4 linked regions of the Saccharomyces cerevisiae S288C genome follow. The gene in region 1 interacts genetically with each later gene. Each region holds a gene or a part of one and is shown in the gene's direction. Other genes may lie near its edges. The genes, in order: TPM1, RGD1, BEM2 and CHS6.

The links.
Region 2: mutations in TPM1 (region 1) and RGD1 together harm fitness more than expected from each alone (negative genetic interaction), as found in Saccharomyces cerevisiae (3 studies listed by BioGRID).
Region 3: mutations in TPM1 (region 1) and BEM2 together harm fitness more than expected from each alone (negative genetic interaction), as found in Saccharomyces cerevisiae (5 studies listed by BioGRID, with this or other methods).
Region 4: mutations in TPM1 (region 1) and CHS6 together harm fitness more than expected from each alone (negative genetic interaction), as found in Saccharomyces cerevisiae (4 studies listed by BioGRID).

Annotation. Positions count from the first base shown.
Region 1 is NC_001146.8:477,908-481,107, reverse strand, and holds TPM1 (tropomyosin TPM1), read left to right. Parts: upstream 1-1,942; coding exon 1,943-2,542; downstream 2,543-3,200. Other genes in the region: NIS1 (Nis1p), read right to left, coding at 117-1,340; EOS1 (Eos1p), read left to right, coding at 3,076-3,200.
Region 2 is NC_001134.8:731,837-736,450, reverse strand, and holds RGD1 (GTPase-activating protein RGD1), read left to right. Parts: upstream 1-1,811; coding exon 1,812-3,812; downstream 3,813-4,614. Other genes in the region: glycine hydroxymethyltransferase SHM1, read right to left, coding at 1-187; MIC12 (Mic12p), read left to right, coding at 411-731; TAE1 (N-terminal protein methyltransferase), read left to right, coding at 921-1,619; YBR259W (uncharacterized protein), read right to left, coding at 3,998-4,614.
Region 3 is NC_001137.3:476,846-485,057, reverse strand, and holds the start of BEM2 (GTPase-activating protein BEM2), read left to right. Parts: upstream 1-2,209; coding exon 2,210-8,212. Other genes in the region: Golgi transport complex subunit COG3, read right to left, coding at 1-270; MYG1 (Myg1p), read left to right, coding at 717-1,733. UniProt on the Saccharomyces cerevisiae protein: GTPase-activating protein (GAP) for RHO1 and RHO2. Involved in the control of cellular morphogenesis. Required for proper bud site selection and bud emergence.
Region 4 is NC_001142.9:237,564-242,247, forward strand, and holds CHS6 (Chs6p), read left to right. Parts: upstream 1-1,850; coding exon 1,851-4,091; downstream 4,092-4,684. Other genes in the region: 1-phosphatidylinositol 4-kinase LSB6, read left to right, coding at 1-1,523; SAP185 (Sap185p), read left to right, coding at 4,519-4,684. UniProt on the Saccharomyces cerevisiae protein: Member of the CHS5-ARF1P-binding proteins (CHAPS) which mediates export of specific cargo proteins, including chitin synthase CHS3.

The DNA of each region.
Region 1 (3,200 bases):
AATGTTCTAGAAGAAATCGAGCGGGGGAAAAAGATACATAGAAGGATAATGTGATTAAATAAAGTTTGATGTCTAAGGCTATGCAATGGCTATGCAATCCAGGGGGGGTTACCTACTTAAAAGGGGTCGCTACTAAGTATACTATCGTCTTGACTGTCGGGTATAATTATAGGATTGCTTTTGGTCTCACCTGCCATCTGGAAGAGACTTGAAGGAGTAGATAAAAGGGACATGTCTAAGTCGCTGGCGTTAGAAGAGCAGACAGAGCTTTCATTCGATGCTGAACCCGGAGAGCAAAGCAAAGTCAGGCGCAGTTGCGTCCTCTGTGTTATAACCAGCATTAAGTATTCTCTCCACAGTTCCAACAGCAGTTGCTCCTTTCTTGCATGCGATTTGGTGTTCAATTTTCCTCTTCTTTTTGGGTGGTACAACACACTAGGGGAAGTATTGGACCGCCCCACATTCTTGTTATAAACAGATCTTGTGGTTGGGGTCGTTGAATTCTGTTTAATTGTTTTCGTCGCCGTCGCAGGCATAGTCGTCGGGAGACTACCTGGTTGTGATTTGGGTAGTTTCCTACTTATGGAGCGGTTCCTTAGATACGGTGGACGACTACTGGTTGCATACATCTGGCTTCTTAAAAATGGGATAGGAGTTACCGCAGGGTCCCTGCTAGTGAGATTTCTGATAGCGTGTAAGTTTACCGGTTGCGAAGCCAGGACATTTGCAATATCCATTTGTTCCAGTTCTATATAGTTCAAAACGGATGTCAGCTCCTTCTTGCTCCTGAATCTTGACCGTACCTTTGCTTGCCTGTCTTCCCTGCGTATGGAGTGTTGCCTCTTCAAAAACCCTTTGTGAAAAATGAAATTATGATTCTTGCTGAACTTGGAGAGTTCATTTTTGCTGGTAAAGTCTGTTCTTCGTTGTGAAGTGTGTCGAATTGGCTTTGCGTTTATGGTAGGAGAGCGAGACCTCATCTTATAATTCGACCATTGCGTAAACTGTTCCATCACTTCAGTGCTTTCAACCTGGTCCGCTTTGCTTATGTTACGGTTCCTCAAGTGCGAAGCATCGTGGTACTCCATATATGGTTTGAAGCTGTCGTGTGTTATATGAGAGTCATCCGATATTTGCACTATAGGAATCTTGGTATCTGAATTTGAATTTGTGTTCGAATTTGTGTTCGAATTTGTGTTCGAGTTCGAGTTCGAGTTCGATGTAGAATCCACAAGCGCATGTATATAACCTGAAGTGGTAAACCCACCGGTACCCAGGGGAGGTGGGAACAAAGTCGGGGGATAAGACTGAGTCCCAATGCTAGTCTCGTATGTCTCCATTGTCTGTATGGTTGTATTTCAAGACGTATCTGCAAGAAAACTGATGTTTGCGAGTTAGGAACAGGGAAAAATACATGAATTAAGAAATACGAACGATCTTAACTATTTTCAACAGTACCTGAAACATGGATGTAAAAACGTAGAAGATACCCGAATAAAGTGGGGCGCACACCGGACTTGAAACCACTCCTCCTTTACCAAGCACTAATTTAAGCTAATCTAATTTAACGCAGTACATTTTGTATGCGCGGCAGCAGCTTAATACATTGCTGTCATTCACTAATGGAAAAAAAAAAAAAAAAAAAAAATCAAAATATAAAAATAAATATTAAGAACTTAAAAAGACAAACCAGCCATCGCGTGGCGCTAGCACATATATCTTACCCGACGGAGAGCCGGGTAAAGAAGTCGGGTAACCATTAAAATAAAAAATCAGCACACCATAGCACGATCTACGAGAAACGGAAAAGTGTTAGAGATCACATACTGCATACTTGGCAAGAAGAAGGTTCGTTTTTCCCTTCTGATACTGTAAAAGATTAGGTTGGTAGAAGAAATCTACATAGTAGAACTCACACCCCATACACACAAAAAAGGCAACAATGGACAAAATCAGAGAAAAGCTAAGCAACTTGAAGTTGGAAGCCGAATCATGGCAGGAGAAGTACGAGGAGTTGAAAGAGAAGAACAAGGACTTGGAGCAAGAGAACGTCGAAAAGGAGAATCAGATCAAGTCTTTAACCGTCAAAAACCAGCAATTGGAGGATGAGATCGAGAAGCTGGAAGCGGGACTTTCTGACTCTAAGCAAACAGAACAGGATAACGTTGAAAAAGAAAATCAGATCAAGTCCTTGACGGTGAAGAACCACCAATTGGAGGAAGAGATCGAGAAGTTGGAAGCAGAATTGGCTGAATCCAAGCAATTGTCCGAGGACTCTCACCACTTGCAGTCCAACAACGACAATTTCTCCAAGAAGAACCAGCAATTGGAAGAAGACTTGGAGGAAAGCGACACCAAGCTAAAGGAAACCACTGAGAAATTGAGAGAGTCCGACTTGAAGGCAGATCAATTGGAAAGAAGAGTAGCTGCCTTGGAAGAACAAAGAGAAGAATGGGAAAGAAAGAACGAGGAATTGACCGTCAAGTACGAAGACGCAAAGAAGGAACTGGACGAAATTGCTGCATCTCTGGAAAACTTGTGATCTACTTTTGTTTTTTGTTTTCTTTTTCTTTTCCCCAACACGCTGGTCTTTGTTCCTTGTTCTTGAGCAAATCAAACGCTCATGGGCAAACGAAACTAAAATAAGAACCATTTATACAAATACAATAGCTTAGACTATACATCTGTATACTTTTCCCTTGAAGATGTTTTTGTTCTTTACCGTTTGCGTGCTGATTTATGATGTTTTTACATTGGGCGTTATTACCCGAGCGGCGTTTTGTTCGTGGGACTCACACTTGTGCCTGCTCCCATGTTAAGTTTTGCACGGTTTATCACATGGACAAAGGCATTCTCATATTACACAGCTACATGTGATATATATCGGGCGTTTCCACGTGTACAAGAACCTGAAAAGTTTATCGGAAGACTAAGTTTTGGGTTGCCCACCGTCTGTGCATCTACGTGAACACACCAGGGTTTCTCATTTCTTTTTTCTTTAAGTTTTTTTTCTCTTCCCTTCCCTTCCTTTGGTCAAATAATCTTATTTGATTCTTCAGGGTTTTAAAAAACCAGATGACGTGGATACTAAGTACTGGTATGGGCCCTCATGAGGACAAGTATGCCAAGCATGAGCGAGCGACCTTTAAAAAGACGTACAGTTCTATGAAAACGCTGTCTTTGAATCATTTAACTGCCAA
Region 2 (4,614 bases), on another chromosome or scaffold:
AGTTTTCTGATGGGATAAGGGTGATAGAGTGTTTTTGTCTGTGACGTTCTTGTTGCAAGATGTCAAACATCTCTGGATCTCCCTCCGAGACTGGTTTGGAGACTAGCGATTGTGCACCACTGGTGAGTAGCCCACGACGATGAACAGTTGCCATACATTTGGCCAATGCAGAAGCTCTGGGAAACATGATTGAAAGACTATGAGACTCGATGTGGAAATGTCGGCTTGATGATTTTTGATAGTTTGCTCTTCTCCAAGAGGCGATGGCTTTTAGTATTTTTTTTCTCATTGACCACCAATAAGCGAAGTACCTAAAAAAAAATAATGAGTCTTTTTTATATTCTATCTCTTGGACAGAAGGGGGACAGAACAGACAGTGGACTAAGAACCAGCAGATAACGGAGAGAATCATGTCGAAATTGGGTCCGTTAGCAAGATCTGTGAAGTGGACTCTCTCTGTGGGAGTAATCGGTTCTGTTTTTTACCTGTACCGATACAGTAACAATGGCTACTTCTACGATCACGATGCTACATGGTTGAAACAAGATCATCAGGTACAGGACCTGGTGGATAGAAAAGAAGTGGTACCTGGGGAGACCAGGAACCGCAAGCTAGTTGTGACGGATGATGGCACTGCATGGAGCAGGACCATGGGGGAGAGCATAAAAGATATTTGGAATGAACAGATAAGAAACTCTGTCGATTGGATCTACTCCTGGGGTAAGAATTAGCGAGCTTTCTATTTCTCCTACTGTAACGAACATCCTCATGTATATAACCTATTGTAACGACTCTGTGTAGAACTTTATATTCAGAAAAAATATCAAAAGAAAAATTTAATTATTAATCAGTACTTTTCACTCTGGTAATGTGCATCGGTGTCAAGAGCATCTCCAAGAAAGAATACATAAACAACAACGATGGACGTGCCTGCAGATTCCCATATCAAATACGAAGATGCCATCGACTATTGGACGGATGTGGACGCCACTGTGGATGGTGTTCTAGGTGGATACGGAGAAGGTACAGTAGTACCCACAATGGATGTCCTGGGATCCAATAACTTCCTGCGTAAACTGAAGTCGAGGATGCTGCCTCAGGAGAACAACGTGAAGTACGCTGTAGACATTGGTGCGGGGATTGGACGTGTAAGCAAGACCATGCTTCACAAGCACGCCGCTAAGATAGACCTTGTAGAACCGGTAAAGCCTTTTATCGAGCAAATGCACGTTGAATTGGCTGAGCTGAAAGACAAAGGCCAAATTGGACAAATATATGAAGTAGGGATGCAGGACTGGACCCCCGATGCCGGCAAGTACTGGCTGATCTGGTGCCAATGGTGCGTGGGACACCTGCCAGATGCAGAACTCGTCGCATTCCTGAAAAGATGTATTGTTGGTTTGCAACCTAATGGGACAATCGTGGTCAAAGAAAATAACACACCTACAGATACCGATGATTTCGACGAAACGGATTCTTCGGTCACAAGGTCAGATGCTAAGTTCAGGCAAATCTTCGAAGAAGCTGGCCTAAAGCTCATCGCCAGTGAAAGACAACGTGGCTTACCAAGAGAATTGTACCCAGTGAGGATGTACGCACTCAAGCCCATGCCAAACTAGGATCAAGGATGCATAGATTTATATAGATACGCCCCTTTTCTTGTGCTGGCATTCACCATTTGTGCCATTATATAGACTTTTTTTTCGATATATATGGAAAAAGAACCCAGAAAATAAAGAATGTGAACAAAATAGTATGTAAAGTAAAAACATACAATCTCGGAAGATTAAAAGAGAAGTGATATAGACAAGATGGAAGAGACTGCGAAGAAACCAGCTAGTGCCACAGTAAGTGCGAAGTCGTCGCACGATGGTGGCACCGACGATTTGGCGCACCTTTTTAGCACGCCAGAGATCAAGAAGGTGCTAAATTCCGATGTGGCAATTAACGCTTTGTTGAGCCGTTTAAAGCAGTCGTTGTTGACTTGTGAAGAGTTTATGAAATTTATTAGAAAGAAATACGCCTTCGAAGAAGAGCACGTTCAGGAGCTCTCCAAGCAATATAAGCACTTTTTCAACATTCAGGGTTCCACAAATTCATCCTTAAAAAAGATGATTCACGAAGTTTTGGGATTCGATGGCAAGATGGCTCAAGTAAAGCAGAGTTATATCACCGCCTTGCAGAAAATGTACTCCGAGATTAGTAGTCTTTTATTAACAATGACAAAATTAAGAAAGTCTGTCAAGGAGAACAGCAAAAGGCTGGAAAAGGATGTTTCTGATGCCATACACAGCGCAGAAAAGGCGCAATCTCGTTACAATTCGTTGTGCCAAGATTGGGACAAATTGAGGATGACTGACCCAACAAAAACAAAGCTGACCTTGAGAGGTTCCAAAACTACGAAGGAACAAGAAGAAGAATTGTTAAGAAAAATCGATAACGCCGATCTGGAATATAAGCAAAAAGTAGATCATTCTAATTCTTTGAGAAACACATTCATAACGAAGGAGAGACCTAGAATTGTTCAAGAATTAAAAGATTTGATTTTAGAAATAGACACAGCGATGACTATCCAATTGCAGAAGTACACGATATGGACGGAAAATTTGGTTCTGAATACAGGTGTTACAATAAGCCCATTGGACTCCACCAAATCTATGAAATCATTTGCTGGATCTGTTTCCAATGAACGTGATCTTTACAGTTTTTTGAACAAGTATAACCAAACAGGAAAACATTCCCTACTGATCAACAAAAACTTGATCCCTGTATCATACAAAAAGCATCCATCAATGAATCATGGTCAGAAAAATAAGAGCCCCCCAAAGTTTGCCGTGGACCCTTCAAGAAACTCCATCCCGAAGAGAATGATATCCACTCATAATGAATCTCCATTTTTGAGCAGTAGTAGTAACACTGCCGCTGTTCCGAATGCTAATCTTAACAGTGCTACACCGTCCTTAAATACCAACAAGCAGTTACCACCTACTATGGCTTCATCTATTTCTTCCACTAGCAATGCGGCTGGCGCTATGTCACCGTCTTCTTCCATTGTAACAAGCGACACCACATCATCCATAACAAAGACCCTGGATCCTGGCAACAATAGTCCACAAATTCCAGAAGAATTGATTAACTCTTTAGACTCGGATCGCCCGATTTCTCACATTCAGACTAACAACAATATGCCACCCGGTGTTCAAAAAAATTTCAAAACATTTGGTGTACCGCTAGAATCACTGATAGAATTCGAACAAGACATGGTCCCTGCGATAGTGCGCCAATGCATATACGTTATTGATAAATTTGGGCTTGATCAAGAAGGAATTTATAGAAAATCGGCAAATGTACTTGATGTCAGCAAGTTGAAGGAGGAAATTGATAAGGATCCCGCAAACATTTCCATGATTCTACCATCAAAGCCACATTCTGATTCGGATATTTATTTAGTAGGATCACTGCTGAAAACTTTTTTTGCGTCGCTGCCTGATAGTGTTTTACCAAAGGCCCTATCATCGGAGATCAAGGTTTGTTTACAAATTGAAGACCCAACAACAAGAAAAAATTTTATGCACGGACTAATATATAACCTCCCCGACGCACAATACTGGACGTTAAGGGCTCTTGTCTTTCATTTGAAAAGAGTGTTGGCACATGAAGCCCAAAACAGAATGAATTTAAGGGCTCTTTGTATAATTTGGGGTCCAACTATTGCGCCTGCAAATCCAGATGACGCTAATGATGTAAATTTTCAAATTATGGCAATGGAAGTATTATTAGAGGTTTCAGATCAAGCTTTTGAGCCTGAATAAACATAGCACTTATGATATTTTCATTCCGTCTTTAATTTCCACTTGTATGTACATTGACGCTGTTATCAGATTTAAGTAAAAACAAAGGAAAATTATATATTGAGAAAAAAAAAAATTCTGTTGTACTATTCCATAATAATTTACTACAAAACTTGCTAAGGTCCAACTCCCTGTCTTCACGGTTGTTAAATTAACCTTATTAATGATGTTTTCTGTCCATCCCTTTTGTACTTAAAATTAAATGCGTAAAACTTTTGTCCTTTTTCGTTCTCTTTCAACAACAATAGTTTCAATTTTGTTAGCCTGTTCAAATTGTACAATAAGATTTCATTCCGTTTACTTGTCGGTAAAACAGCTAATTTTTCCTGTATGCTAGTTAATGATAAGGAATCAACTTCATTATATAAGTACAATATGCTCGTAGTACACATGTTGGAAACGAGTTTCAAATGCGTATTTCTTGTAGTATCGATAATAATTGGTAGTTCAATTTCAAAAAGGTGGAATGCAAATGCGTCTTGCAAAATTTGACCCCTCTTTAATTGCTTATTCGCGAAATCTGGCCAACTATTCGCAATTGATTGGTTAGGCCAAAATGGTTCATTGAAATCTTTGTTAACTTCAGATAGTGACTTAAATTCTTTGTAGGACAAAATAATGACACCAGATGAAGTTTTGTCATCACTTGTCACTGTTACATTTTTGAGTGATTCTATGCTAGACTTGATCAAATTATTTATCGCATGTACCAAAGAGGGTTCTAGAATTTGGAGAGATTCTATTACTAGCCGTTCCAAGCAAC
Region 3 (8,212 bases), on another chromosome or scaffold:
TAACTGGTCCAAATAGGTAGTATAATACAAATACTTGTTTGTCTTTTTTACATCCGCAGAAGTCGTAGCTTCAGAACCATTAACCTCTGAACAACCTTCTGAGACATCAGTTCTTTGCAGACTGTCAGAATTTTCCACAGCCAAAGATAGCTTTTTTAGCTTATCAAAAAGGTACGAATCGTCCAGTAAACCCACTATGGTCTGAGATTCTGGTATAGTCGGATGAGACGCAATATCTCGAACCAATGAATTCTTTCTACTTCTCGCCATCTTTGGATGTGTCGATAATTCGTGCAATATTGGGTAAAACAATTCATGCTGGGAGTATTTATTGTGTGTCTATAAAGCCAAGACTTTACATAACAATGGACGCAACGACTGCCGTTATACAGGGTAACCTCAATTTGCGCCTCTATATTCTATATTAATACTACTTATGATCCATCCGCAGCTGATACTTAGAGTTACGAGGCAGAGCATCGAAAAATCTGAGCCCACCATTAAGTTGCAATATAAGTACGAATTTTCCTGCTCTTCTCTCGTCTTTGGATTACTGTATTCATTGATAAATCTCTATTATTTTTTTCAGTTTTTCACTTTCTTTTCGAGCGATGGGAACGGCAAATCACGAAAATTTTCTGTCAACGTAGAAAGTAATGATGTGTTAATACTATCGAAAAGCTGTGGAATTGAAGAGCCCAGCCCAAAAAGTCTGCATGAATAGCGTAAAAAGAGTAAAGCTAAATTCAAAAATGTCCAAACAAATATGCACGCATTCCGGATCTTTTCACGCGGACGAGTCGTTGGCGGTATACATGTTAAGGCTACTACCCGAATTTAAAGATGCTAAGTTGGTTAGATCAAGAAATCCCAAGGACTGGGAGGCTAGTGACATTCTAGTGGATGTAGGAGCTCAGTATGACGGCGTGAAATTTTTTGACCACCACCAGCGTGGATTTTTCGAAACTTTCAACGAGAAATACAAGACTAAGCTCTCAAGTGCTGGTCTGATCTTCAAACACTACGGTCGTGACATTATCAAAACAATTTTGAACAACAAGGTTAGCAGCTCTGATTTAGATCTGCTCTATGACAAGGTATACAAACAATTTGTCGAGGCACTGGATGCAAACGACAACGGTATTAGCAAGTACACGATTCCTAAGGATTCCAACTTGGAACCGAATTTCAGGGATAACGCCATCAGCATTCCCGGGATTATTTCAGGTATGAATCCTAACTGGAACGAAGACACTTCCGATGAGTCTTTTGACAGATGCTTTGCTCGCGCAAGTGAGTTTATCGGTGGGGTCTTTGTCACATTGGTAAGAGGCTACGGTCAATCGTGGTTGCCAGCCAAGGCCCTTGTGGCGCAAGCCATTGATGAAAGAATGGATGTTGATAAGAGTGGCAAAATCATTGTCTTGCCCCAATTCTGTCCATGGAAGGAGCATCTATACGAGCTGGAAAGAGAGAAGAACATTGAAAAGCAAATCGAGTTTGTTCTCTTCACAGACTCTTCTGGTGCCTGGAGGGTATCTACTGTACCAATCAACTCCACCTCCTTCCAGTTTAGGAGAGGTTTGCCGGAGCCATTAAGAGGCCTCAGAGACGAAGAGCTGAGCACCAAGAGCGGTGTGCCAGGATGTATCTTCATTCATGCAGCAGGTTTCATTGGAGGTGCCAAGTCCAAAGAGGCTGTATATGAGCTGGCTAAGATGTCTTTGGCCTAGTCGGGAGCGAGCGCTCAGTCAGGTCCCTTATCTATTTAATAATATTTAACAATTCCACTATTTATTCTGTATAGTAAGTAAATCTTTAATGCAAGCAAAAATCTTCCCGCCGCGAATCCTGAAACATATTCCCCTCGGTGAAACACGCTCTTGAAAATGACCTGAGAACACAAGATATCAGACGGCTCTTGTTGCACAAAAAACAAAAACAAAAGAAGCAAGCTACGTTGCAGCCACTGGTACTGTCTGCTAACTCAAACATTCTTTTTCATTTTTAATATACAGATTTCGTATTCTCCCGTTCCCGCTATACGCAATTTTCTTTCTTTTTTTTCCCTCTTTGGTTAGGAGACTGCAGATCAGTCCCATTTTTTCCAACAGAACAAACAAGCAAACGTTTCAGTTTAAAAGAACACACGGTCGTCGTGCCTTTTCTGGATAGACACAAAAAAAACAAATAACGAAGCAGGAGTCTAATGAAAGGTCTTCTCTGGTCTAAGAACAGGAAATCTTCAACGGCCAGTGCTAGTTCAAGCTCAACTTCCACGTCTCATAAGACAACTACTGCGTCTACAGCATCGTCGTCGTCGCCGTCATCATCCTCTCAAACTATTCGAAACTCGACAAGCGGTGCTTCTCCATACATGCATTCCCACCATCACCATGGCCAGGGACACAGTCACCACAGAGGGGAAGACAACAACAGAGATAAGAGAAAAAGCTCCGTATTTCCACCCTCCAAGCAGTACACATCCACTAGTTCCAGTCAGGTGAACTTGGGGATGTATCATTCGGATACTAACACCAGATCTTCTAGAAGCATAGCCTCTACGCTAAAAGACGATTCTCCGTCTGTCTGCTCCGAAGATGAAATAAGCAATTCTTCTAGCCAGAAGTCCAATGCCCAGGATGAGACTCCCATTGCGTACAAGAAGAGTGCCCATTCGAAAGACTCATTGTTGCCTTCACGTTCCTCGTCTTTATCACCTCCTCAGTCTCGATGTAGCACTGGAACTACGCTAGAGAAATCGTTGAACACTTCAGGTATCAGTAACAGTAGCGGCACTAATAATAACAATAGCAATAATAACAACGATAACGAGCAAAAGCAAAGAAATGTTATCCACTTAAACTCTGAAAACTATGATACAACTGTTTTTAAGACTGGATGGGTTAATAAGTCCCATGGCCAGACTGTTGCTACAAACTATAATAGCTCAATGACAGCCCCTTCCTCTTCCTCTTCGTCCTCCTCTCAGAATCTCCGTAATGATGCGTATTCTAGAAACAGGGAAAGCAGGTTTTATGGGAACGACGGTTCGTCTTTAAAAAATGATGACAGCAGTAGTACTACGGCCACTAACAGTGGCAATGATGTGGCCTCAGCAAGAAGCAGCATGGCTATAGATCCTCAAATGCTAGTACCTGATTACCGTCTTTATAGGGCTCAATTGAAAGGTTGCGTTCTCAACCTTTACAAAAGTGGTTTGAATAGTAACATTAAGTTTTTTGATCCAACTTTACCAGCTTCAAATAGTAGTATAGCAAATGAAAACCATCAACAGAAAAAACAACAAACAAACAACCAAGCACAAGCGGAAGCTCTGCACCAAAAGCAATCATTTGGCCAAATGGGTGAACCTATTACACTGGACCTGAAGTATTTATCTGAAGTTTACCCGCACCCAGATTTAAGACAAGACAGTGATGGTAAAATTATATCAGGCACAATAGAAAGTTTATGTCACACAGTCTTATTTTACCCCGGTCCAAAGCAATCGGACGTACCTAATGAGAAATCATTATCTAAGACACATAGAGCTGTTATTAATCTGTTATTGATGTTTCCATTACTAGATCATTTCATTAAGTTTCTAAAGGTATTCAACCAATTCGGTCTTTCTTTTACCAAGAATAAATCAAGATTGACAAATAATTCCACACAATTCTACAACATATCCCCTGCTGTCGATGACTCCATGACTCAAAGATTAGCTTTAACTGCTAAAACAATCCTTGATGTATTTCCGGGATTTTTGCTGGATGAACCAATGCTGAAGACTATAATTTCCTTATTAGATACTATATCTTTGCATAACGATGAAATTTCCAACAATTTGAAAATTAAAATCGCCAATAAACATAACGAATTAATGAAACTTACCGCATTCACTCGATCTCTTCCAATGGCAACATCATCTACACATGAATTAGAGATTATATTGGATCCAAGTCATTTCCTGTCTTTAGACATTACAACATTGGCTGATGAAGTTCATCATATCAATTTAAAGTTTGATAAAGTATGGGCACCGAAATTTGACTATTCTCTGCTGTATGATTCGAAGTTTATTAATCGAAGAATTGTCTCGTTAAATCCATTGGTATTCAACAACGACCAAAATATCCATTTTCTTGGAAGGCTACTAATATCACATTTATTTCCAACAAATCCTGAGTTTAGTAAAAAAGTGACTCCAAAAGTGAGAGCTGAGTTATTAGATAAATGGGTCCAAATTGGCTGTAGATTTGAACATTTAGGAGACATGGTATCATGGCTAGCTGTCGCCACTATCATTTGTTCAATTCCTGTACTAAGGTCATCTTCATGGAAATATGTTCCTGATCAGTCATTGAAAACTATTTTTAAAGATTGGGTTCCTACCATTATTCAGTTAGAGAGGCGACAAAGGACATCTAAATCTACAAGTAGTGTTTTCATACTCGCTCCTCCAAATCTGGATGACGACTTTACGAGAGCTAACGTGATTTCTTATTTTGGCGATTTATTAATTCATGCTGATGATTTACCATCTGATACGAAATTCAAGTACTTGGAAAAGAAAATTAACAGAACAAAAAACGCTTTTCATAAATGGCAACAAAGATTACAAGCAATCGACTCTACGAGACATAAAACTAATTCGACAGAAAACGTCAGGGATAATGATTCTCCTAATAACGTTGTTTATCAGCTCTGGAAATTTCATTTATCACAACCTCCGTTGAACATTGAAGGAATAATGAAATTAAGTGTCCAACACGAACCTCCAATAATCGACCAGAAAGCGTATTCTACTATTGGTTCTCAAAGGAGTGCTTTAGTAACTGGAAGTTATTTACCCATTTTATTCAATGAACTATTCCCAAATTATTCACTATTTCCTAAGAATACATTAGTGGGTGCTGCCAGTGATGCGAAGTTGCCGCCTCCAAGATCATCCGCGCGCCTCTCAAAATCACTTTCAATCAGTGAACCAATTCCAATAGCTTCAAACAGTCACACTATGGGCTCATTAACAGATGATGCTATGTCCTCAAAAAATGATAATAATAAAGTTACAGGTGTTGGAAAAATTGACGGACCTGTGATCAAAGAGATGTCGTCAAAACAATCAAATAAACAGAGACTATTAAAATCTGTGAGAGATGTTTTTAATATTGACATGGATGTGTTTCATATATCAGATGAGTTAGTATTTAAATCGGTATACGATAATGATGGTAAATCCCGTCCTGCTAGTATGGTCATAGAAACACCAAAGAGATTCTCACAACACTCTTCCATGCTTATTAATAATCCAGCTACTCCAAACCAAAAGATGAGAGATTCCTTGGATACCACTGGAAGACTAAGTAAGACATTAGAAAATATGGACTTTTTCAACAATATTGGTCAAGTATCAGATTCACTAAAAGAATCGATTATTCGTGTCGTATTGAAATCGTCGTCGCTAGAAAAGATTTTTGATTTACTGGTATTAACTTCAAATATCTTTTCAAAATTGGTAGACACTAAAGACCTTGAGAATTATTACTATCATCAAAGACAAAGGGGTCATTCTACCAGAGGGCTTTCCGATGATAACATAGGACTACTAGATTATGCATTCGTTAAACTAACTATGGACAATGATATTTTCACAGAAACATTCTTCAACACTTATAAAAGCTTTACTACTACAACTACGGTATTAGAAAATATGGCAAAACGGTATGTTGGTGCAAAGAGTTGCAGCGTGTCAATTTCCAAGATTTTAGATCGCAGTGATGATTCTAAAATGAAGATAAATGAGGATACAAATTTAGTGTCCTCTTCATTATACGACCAAAATTTTCCTGTTTGGGATATGAAAGTAACTGACGATGAAAACATAAACCTTATTTATATGGCAAAAATCCAAATCGGCGCCGCGGAAGCTATACTACATTTAGTGAAAAATCATTACTCTGACTTTACTGACGATTTATGTAACAACTCTACTCTATTGGATATTATAAAAATAATGGAACAAGAAGTATCCACTGAATGGCCTACGCGAATTGCAAACTCAAAGTTACAAAAAAGCCTACCAGAAAATTTTGTGATTGAAACAGAAAATTTGTTGACTACGTTAACTGATCTATTTCATGGTATTAAATCAGCATACCAAAAGCAACTATACAGACCTATTGGTGTCAATAGAACTCAGAAGAGAATAACTGACATTTTGAATTCCTTTAACACATTCTCTTTTACAGATCTTAACAACATCATTGATGATCCTTCCTTTAGCGATGACATGATTAGATCTTTTCAAAAGTTACACTCAACCAATTACGAAGATATACTAGAATGGATCTACCAGTTAGATAACTTTATTTCTAAGAAGTTCAATTTAGTTTCTAAGAAAGATTGGATAGTTCTTTTCCAGGAGTTGGAATTGCTTTCAAAGGAATCTCTGGTCTCTTTTTTCAATTATCCGCTACATTTTAAGTCAAGCAAATTGATAAACCCCGGATATTTGCAATTGCACGAGTTTGAAATTTCCAATCTTTTTACTTGGATTTCTACATTGATTCTTAAGGATGATAATGGTACGGAGAGTCTTTTTTTTGAAAAACTACCACAATCTATAAAATTGTTAATAAAGTTACACACGAGTCTAACTACGTTTTTCGTGATGGAAATTTCAAACGTCAACAAAAGCAGTAGTGAAAGGTTAACTACTTGTAAAGTTATATTACAAATTTTGAACTACATCCGCTGGAAAAACGGAAGTTTGGATTTATTTGATTCAGAGGAGGATGAAAGTCCTCATGCTATTTGTCCACACATTCCAGCTTTTATTGAAACTGCTATTGCGCATGCCATAATATCACCAGAGTCTAGAAACTATGAACTTTCGTGGATCAAAGCTTCTGAAAAACTTTCGGACCCTACTAAAGGAACCCAAAATCTAAGATCGATTAGTAACGTTTTAGAGAAGATAGATGACATACATATAAAGAGATTCATTGAGATTGATGATGTATTCAGCAAAAACTGCAAGAATTTATGCCCCTGCCCTGGTTGGTTCATTTCAAGGTTACTAGAAATATCTCAGTTTGTCCCTAACATGAGTATCACTAATTCGAAACTTATTAATTTTGACAAAAGGAGATTTGTTAACAACATAATATCTAATGTCTTGGATTTAATTCCGAACGAAAGGGAGTTTCCACTTGATATTGAAATGAGTGACGAAAATCCTTCGAAAAGAACTACATTTGGCCGCATTCTGTTCAATAATTTTGAAGATGTTAATAAAGTATACAGAAAGAAGACTAAAAAAGTATCAGAATCAGAAGCCATATCGGAGAGATTTCAAGAGCAGGGAGTATTTAATGAAATACTAGTCAATGAAATTGAAAAAATAAAGAGGGAAGCCAGAAAATTAGAGGTTTTACTCGATCAAGAAAAGATCTTGAAGAACTCTGCTGCTTTACATCAGGCCGTTCCGAAAAAGAATAGGAAGTCTGTTATTATCTCAGGTACTCATAGTGACAACGATCATAGCTATAATATCAATAAGAACACCGGTCAAACGCCTTCTCTAGGTAGTGTTATGGAAAGCAATAATTCAGCAAGGAATAGAAGAGATTCAAGGGCCTCCTTTTCCACAAATAGATCATCAGTAGTGTCAAATTCCAGCCATAATGGTGTTAGTAAAAAAATAGGTGGATTTTTCAGAAGACCATTTTCAATCGGTGGATTCAACACATCCAGTTCTAATTATTCACTCAACAGTATATTATCGCAAGAAGTTTCAAGTAACAAATCCATTCTACCAAGTATACTTCCAGAGGTTGATTCCATGCAACTACACGACTTAAAACCTAGTTATAGTTTGAAGACCTTTGAAATCAAGTCAATAATGGAAATAATCAATCACAGAAACATTCCGGCTTACTACTATGCGTTCAAGATAGTTATGCAAAATGGCCATGAATATCTGATTCAAACGGCTAGTTCTAGTGACCTCACAGAATGGATAAAAATGATCAAGGCTTCCAAGAGATTTTCATTCCATTCGAAAAAATATAAAGGTAAAACTCATAATAAGATATTTGGGGTACCATTAGAAGACGTTTGTGAAAGAGAGAATACCTTGATACCTACAATTGTTGTGAAATTGCTGGAAGAGATTGAGCTGCGTGGGCTAGATGAAGTGGGATTG
Region 4 (4,684 bases), on another chromosome or scaffold:
CGTCAGGGCAAGAAGAAGAAGGAAGTCAATATGAGATTCAATATTCGGTATTTCGTCCGCTGCATGCATATCCAACCAAGGGCCTAGCATATGAGCAGCTCCGAAGAAAAGAAGAACAAGAACAGAGGGAAAACTTCAACCATTTGGTTTCTGACTGTATTGAGGCTGTAGAGACATTTGGACGCGAACTCGAGAGAATCCAAACTGGCTCAAGTGGGTCGTACTTTGTGTATGGAACACGGGCCGACGAAAGCGTTCCGGTGGGGGTCTTCAAGCCCAAGGATGAGGAACCATATGGCCCATTTTCTCCCAAATGGACCAAATGGGCACACCGCACGTTTTTCCCATGTCTGTTTGGCAGAAGTTGTCTGATTCCAAACCTCGGGTACATCTGTGAAAGTGCGGCTAGTTTGTTGGATAGGCGACTGGAAACGCATCTAGTACCCTATACAGATACTGCATCTATAGAGTCTTTTAATTTTTATGATAATAGAAAAAAATGGGTATTGGGATACAACCTTCAGAAGAAGAAACAAAAAAAGCTGGGTTCTTTCCAACTTTTTTTGAAGGAGTACATCAACGCCGATGAGTTCTTTCATAAATACCCATTACCTGGGATGTATTCAGATGTTAAACATTCATTTCATCGTAAGTCATCCGGCGAAGATATCAATCATAAACCAGAGACAACCAGGAACCTAACAGATGAGACAGAACCGTCCAAGCAAATAAATTCCTCTCCAATTTCGACGGAATCTGAAGAAAATTCGAAATTTGAATGGACAGAATCAAGTTTGAGTCAGTTCAGATTGGAACTAGAAAAACTAATTATCCTTGATTATATAATGAGAAACACAGATAGAGGTCTAGACAATTGGATGGTGAAACTAATCAAACTTTCAAACAATAAGTGGAGACTCAAGTTAGCCGCCATCGACAATGGGTTGTCCTTTCCCTGGAAGCATCCTGATGAGTGGCGTCTGTACCCATATGGCTGGTTGTATTTGCCTCTGCAACTACTAGCCAAACCATTTTCTGAGCAAATGAGATCTCATTTCCTACCGATATTGACAAGCACTAATTGGTGGGAAGAGTCGTACCAAGAATTCTTGGCCCTATTTAGCAGGGACCAAGATTTTAACGTCCGAATGTGGAAGAAGCAATGGGCAGTATTAAAAGGACAGGCGTTCAACGTTGTCGAAACATTGAAAGACCCACGACAAGGCCCCTTGGAATTGGTTAGAAGGACAAGGTGCCAGGTAATAGATGAGAAGATGCAAGTTCCCTGTTGCCCACCTCCAGTTTCTATTTTCAAAAACGCCATAGACGAACCTATTGGATCATATTCCACTTCACCAATGGTACTCCCTAGCACCCCAAGCACAATTCCATTTCATGCACATAACCAAAGCAATAGTAATCCTGTATACTATGATTCCACTCTGCACCCATTTGCTAATAAAACAGTGATAGCAGAGCGGCTACAAATAGTCAATTCCACCCCCGTATTCACCTGGTGTTGATTTTTTGGAAAATAATTCAATACATACTCAATATAAAGAAATCATAACTCTACTTTAGCATATAGGAAATAGACTCTTTCGAAAAAACCTCTTTCTGTAGTGTTAGAAAGCAACCGGCTATTATTTTTGTGTGTCTTCGAAAAATCGGAACCCAAACAGATCTTAGCGGATTCATGGTAAAAATAGCCTTGAAGAATTTAGGAAAATAAATAGATACTCAAAAAGGAATAGAGGATCTTAACAAATCATTACATTACTTAACTCACATTAAAAGCAAACACCTTTCTTAAGCTGTTGGTGCAAAAAAGGATTACATCTATTGCCCTTATGAATTTGTTTTGGCCATCGGAAACCAAAAAGCAAAATGAAATACCTGGTGGCGATTATACACCTGGGAACTCACCTTCAGTACAAAAGGGTTATCAATTCCTCAATCGAGACATATTTAAAAGTTGTCCACGAATTATGGAAAGGCAGTTTGGTGAGTGTCTGCACAATAGAACGCATTTAATCAAGGATTTAATTTCTTCTGGCAATGTTGGACTAGGTCCCATTGAGATTGTTCACATGTCCTACTTAAACAAACATGAAAAAGAAGAGTTTGGTGAATATTTCTACGTTACAGGGATCGAAGTTTCCGGTCCTGCAATGCCCGTAGAGTTTCTTGAAGTGCTAAAATCGAGTAAGCGGATTTCCAAAAATATATCGAATAATATCATATTGACTTATTGCTGTTTTAATTTTTTCAGCAATCTAGACATCCGTATTAGATACGATGCTGACGATACTTTCCAGACAACGGCAATTGACTGTAACAAGGAAACCACTGACCTGACCATGACAGAAAAAATGTGGGAAGAAACGTTCGCAAGTTCTGTCATCCGAGCGATAATAACAAATACTAATCCAGAGTTAAAACCTCCCGGTTTAGTAGAGTGTCCATTCTACGTTGGAAAAGATACTATCTCCTCTTGCAAAAAGATCATAGAATTACTCTGCCGATTCTTACCACGGTCACTGAATTGCGGGTGGGATTCTACCAAGAGTATGCAAGCCACCATTGTCAATAACTATTTAATGTATAGTTTAAAAAGTTTTATTGCAATCACGCCAAGCCTAGTGGATTTTACAATCGACTACCTGAAAGGACTTACCAAGAAAGATCCAATCCATGACATATACTACAAGACGGCTATGATCACAATTCTAGATCACATAGAAACAAAGGAGTTAGACATGATAACTATTTTAAATGAGACGCTCGACCCCCTTTTATCTCTGCTAAATGATTTACCGCCTCGCGATGCTGATTCAGCACGATTAATGAATTGCATGAGTGACTTGCTGAACATTCAAACAAATTTTTTGTTAAACAGGGGTGATTACGAACTAGCATTAGGCGTCTCTAACACATCAACCGAACTAGCCTTAGACTCTTTTGAATCTTGGTACAACCTAGCGAGATGCCACATCAAAAAAGAGGAGTATGAAAAGGCTCTCTTCGCAATAAATTCAATGCCTCGTTTGCGCAAAAATGATGGACACCTGGAAACAATGTACAGTAGGTTTCTTACCTCCAATTATTATAAAAAGCCATTGAATGGTACCCGCGAACACTACGACTTGACTGCAATGGAATTCACGAATCTCTCGGGAACGTTGAGGAATTGGAAAGAGGATGAGTTAAAACGGCAAATTTTTGGAAGAATCGCAATGATAAACGAAAAAAAAATCGGTTATACAAAGGAAATCTGGGATGATATTGCGATAAAGTTGGGTCCGATTTGTGGTCCACAATCTGTGAATCTGATTAATTATGTCTCCCCTCAAGAGGTCAAAAACATAAAAAATATCAATTTAATAGCAAGGAATACGATCGGCAAACAATTGGGATGGTTTAGTGGTAAAATATATGGGTTATTAATGGAAATTGTGAACAAAATTGGTTGGAATGGCTTATTAAACATCCGAACAGAAGCTTTCATGATGGAAACTGAATTCTATCAAGCTTCTAACAACATTATCGATGAAAACGGTCATATACCGATGGAATCCCGAAAGAAAAGGTTTTGTGAAGGGTGGCTAGATGATTTATTTTTAGATTTATATCAAGACTTGAAATTGAGCAAGATTAGCCTAAGCAATAAAGATGAAAAACACAGCGGATTAGAGTGGGAACTTTTGGGTTTGATCATGCTGCGTACCTGGCATTGGGAAGATGCCGTAGCTTGTCTAAGAACAAGCATAGTAGCTCGATTCGACCCCGTAAGTTGCCAGCAGCTGCTAAAAATATACCTGCAACCTCCAAAAAATATTCAAGAGGTTACATTACTAGACACAGATACCATAATAAGTTTATTAATTAAGAAAATATCATATGATTGCAGGTATTATAATTATTGCCAGATATTTAATCTGCAACTGCTAGAAAAGCTATGCAACGAATTGGGGACGCATATACTGCGTAATAAGATCCTTCTTCAACCTTCCATAGGAGACGAAATCATGGTCATGATCGATGCCATGCTTGCGTGGATAGCCGACCTAGATCACACAGTACAACCTTGAACAAAACGGTGCTCTTAGTATTATTATATAACCACTACGGTTGGATGGACTGAGGGTAAGGGTAACCGTATACCTTTTATTTTTTTTTTTACATTTTGAACTGGGAAGAAAATTTTTTTTGCGAGGGATTGACGGCTAACGCCAAAACACTCCGAAGAGAATGAGAAAAGCTTGGGCATCGCTCGAAGTCATCGAACGGGACTATTTTTGTTTAAAATTTCACCAGATCTGCTTGATAAGGGTAGTTTAGCTTGTGTATTTGGGAAAGGTACGCAAAAGATATATTTTACTAAGATCTTTAAATATTTTTAGCTTGAGGTAATACATGCTAATTTTAGTTGATTAGAGATTCTGAAAAATTCGTTTTAGTTAGTGTTTAAGAATAGTGGCGTTTATCGTTTTGCCCATTTAATAATTAGGAAAAAATATGTCAGGGTCCTTTTGGAAGTTTGGACAAGATTTTGGTTCACAGTCTCCATTAGCTAAACTGTTGAACAGGGCTTTCATTAAGATCGATGATAAGCCCACTAGTACGGAAGCAGGGAAAATTGACTCTAATAGCACAGATGAAAGTTTAGAAAGCAATTCTTTTA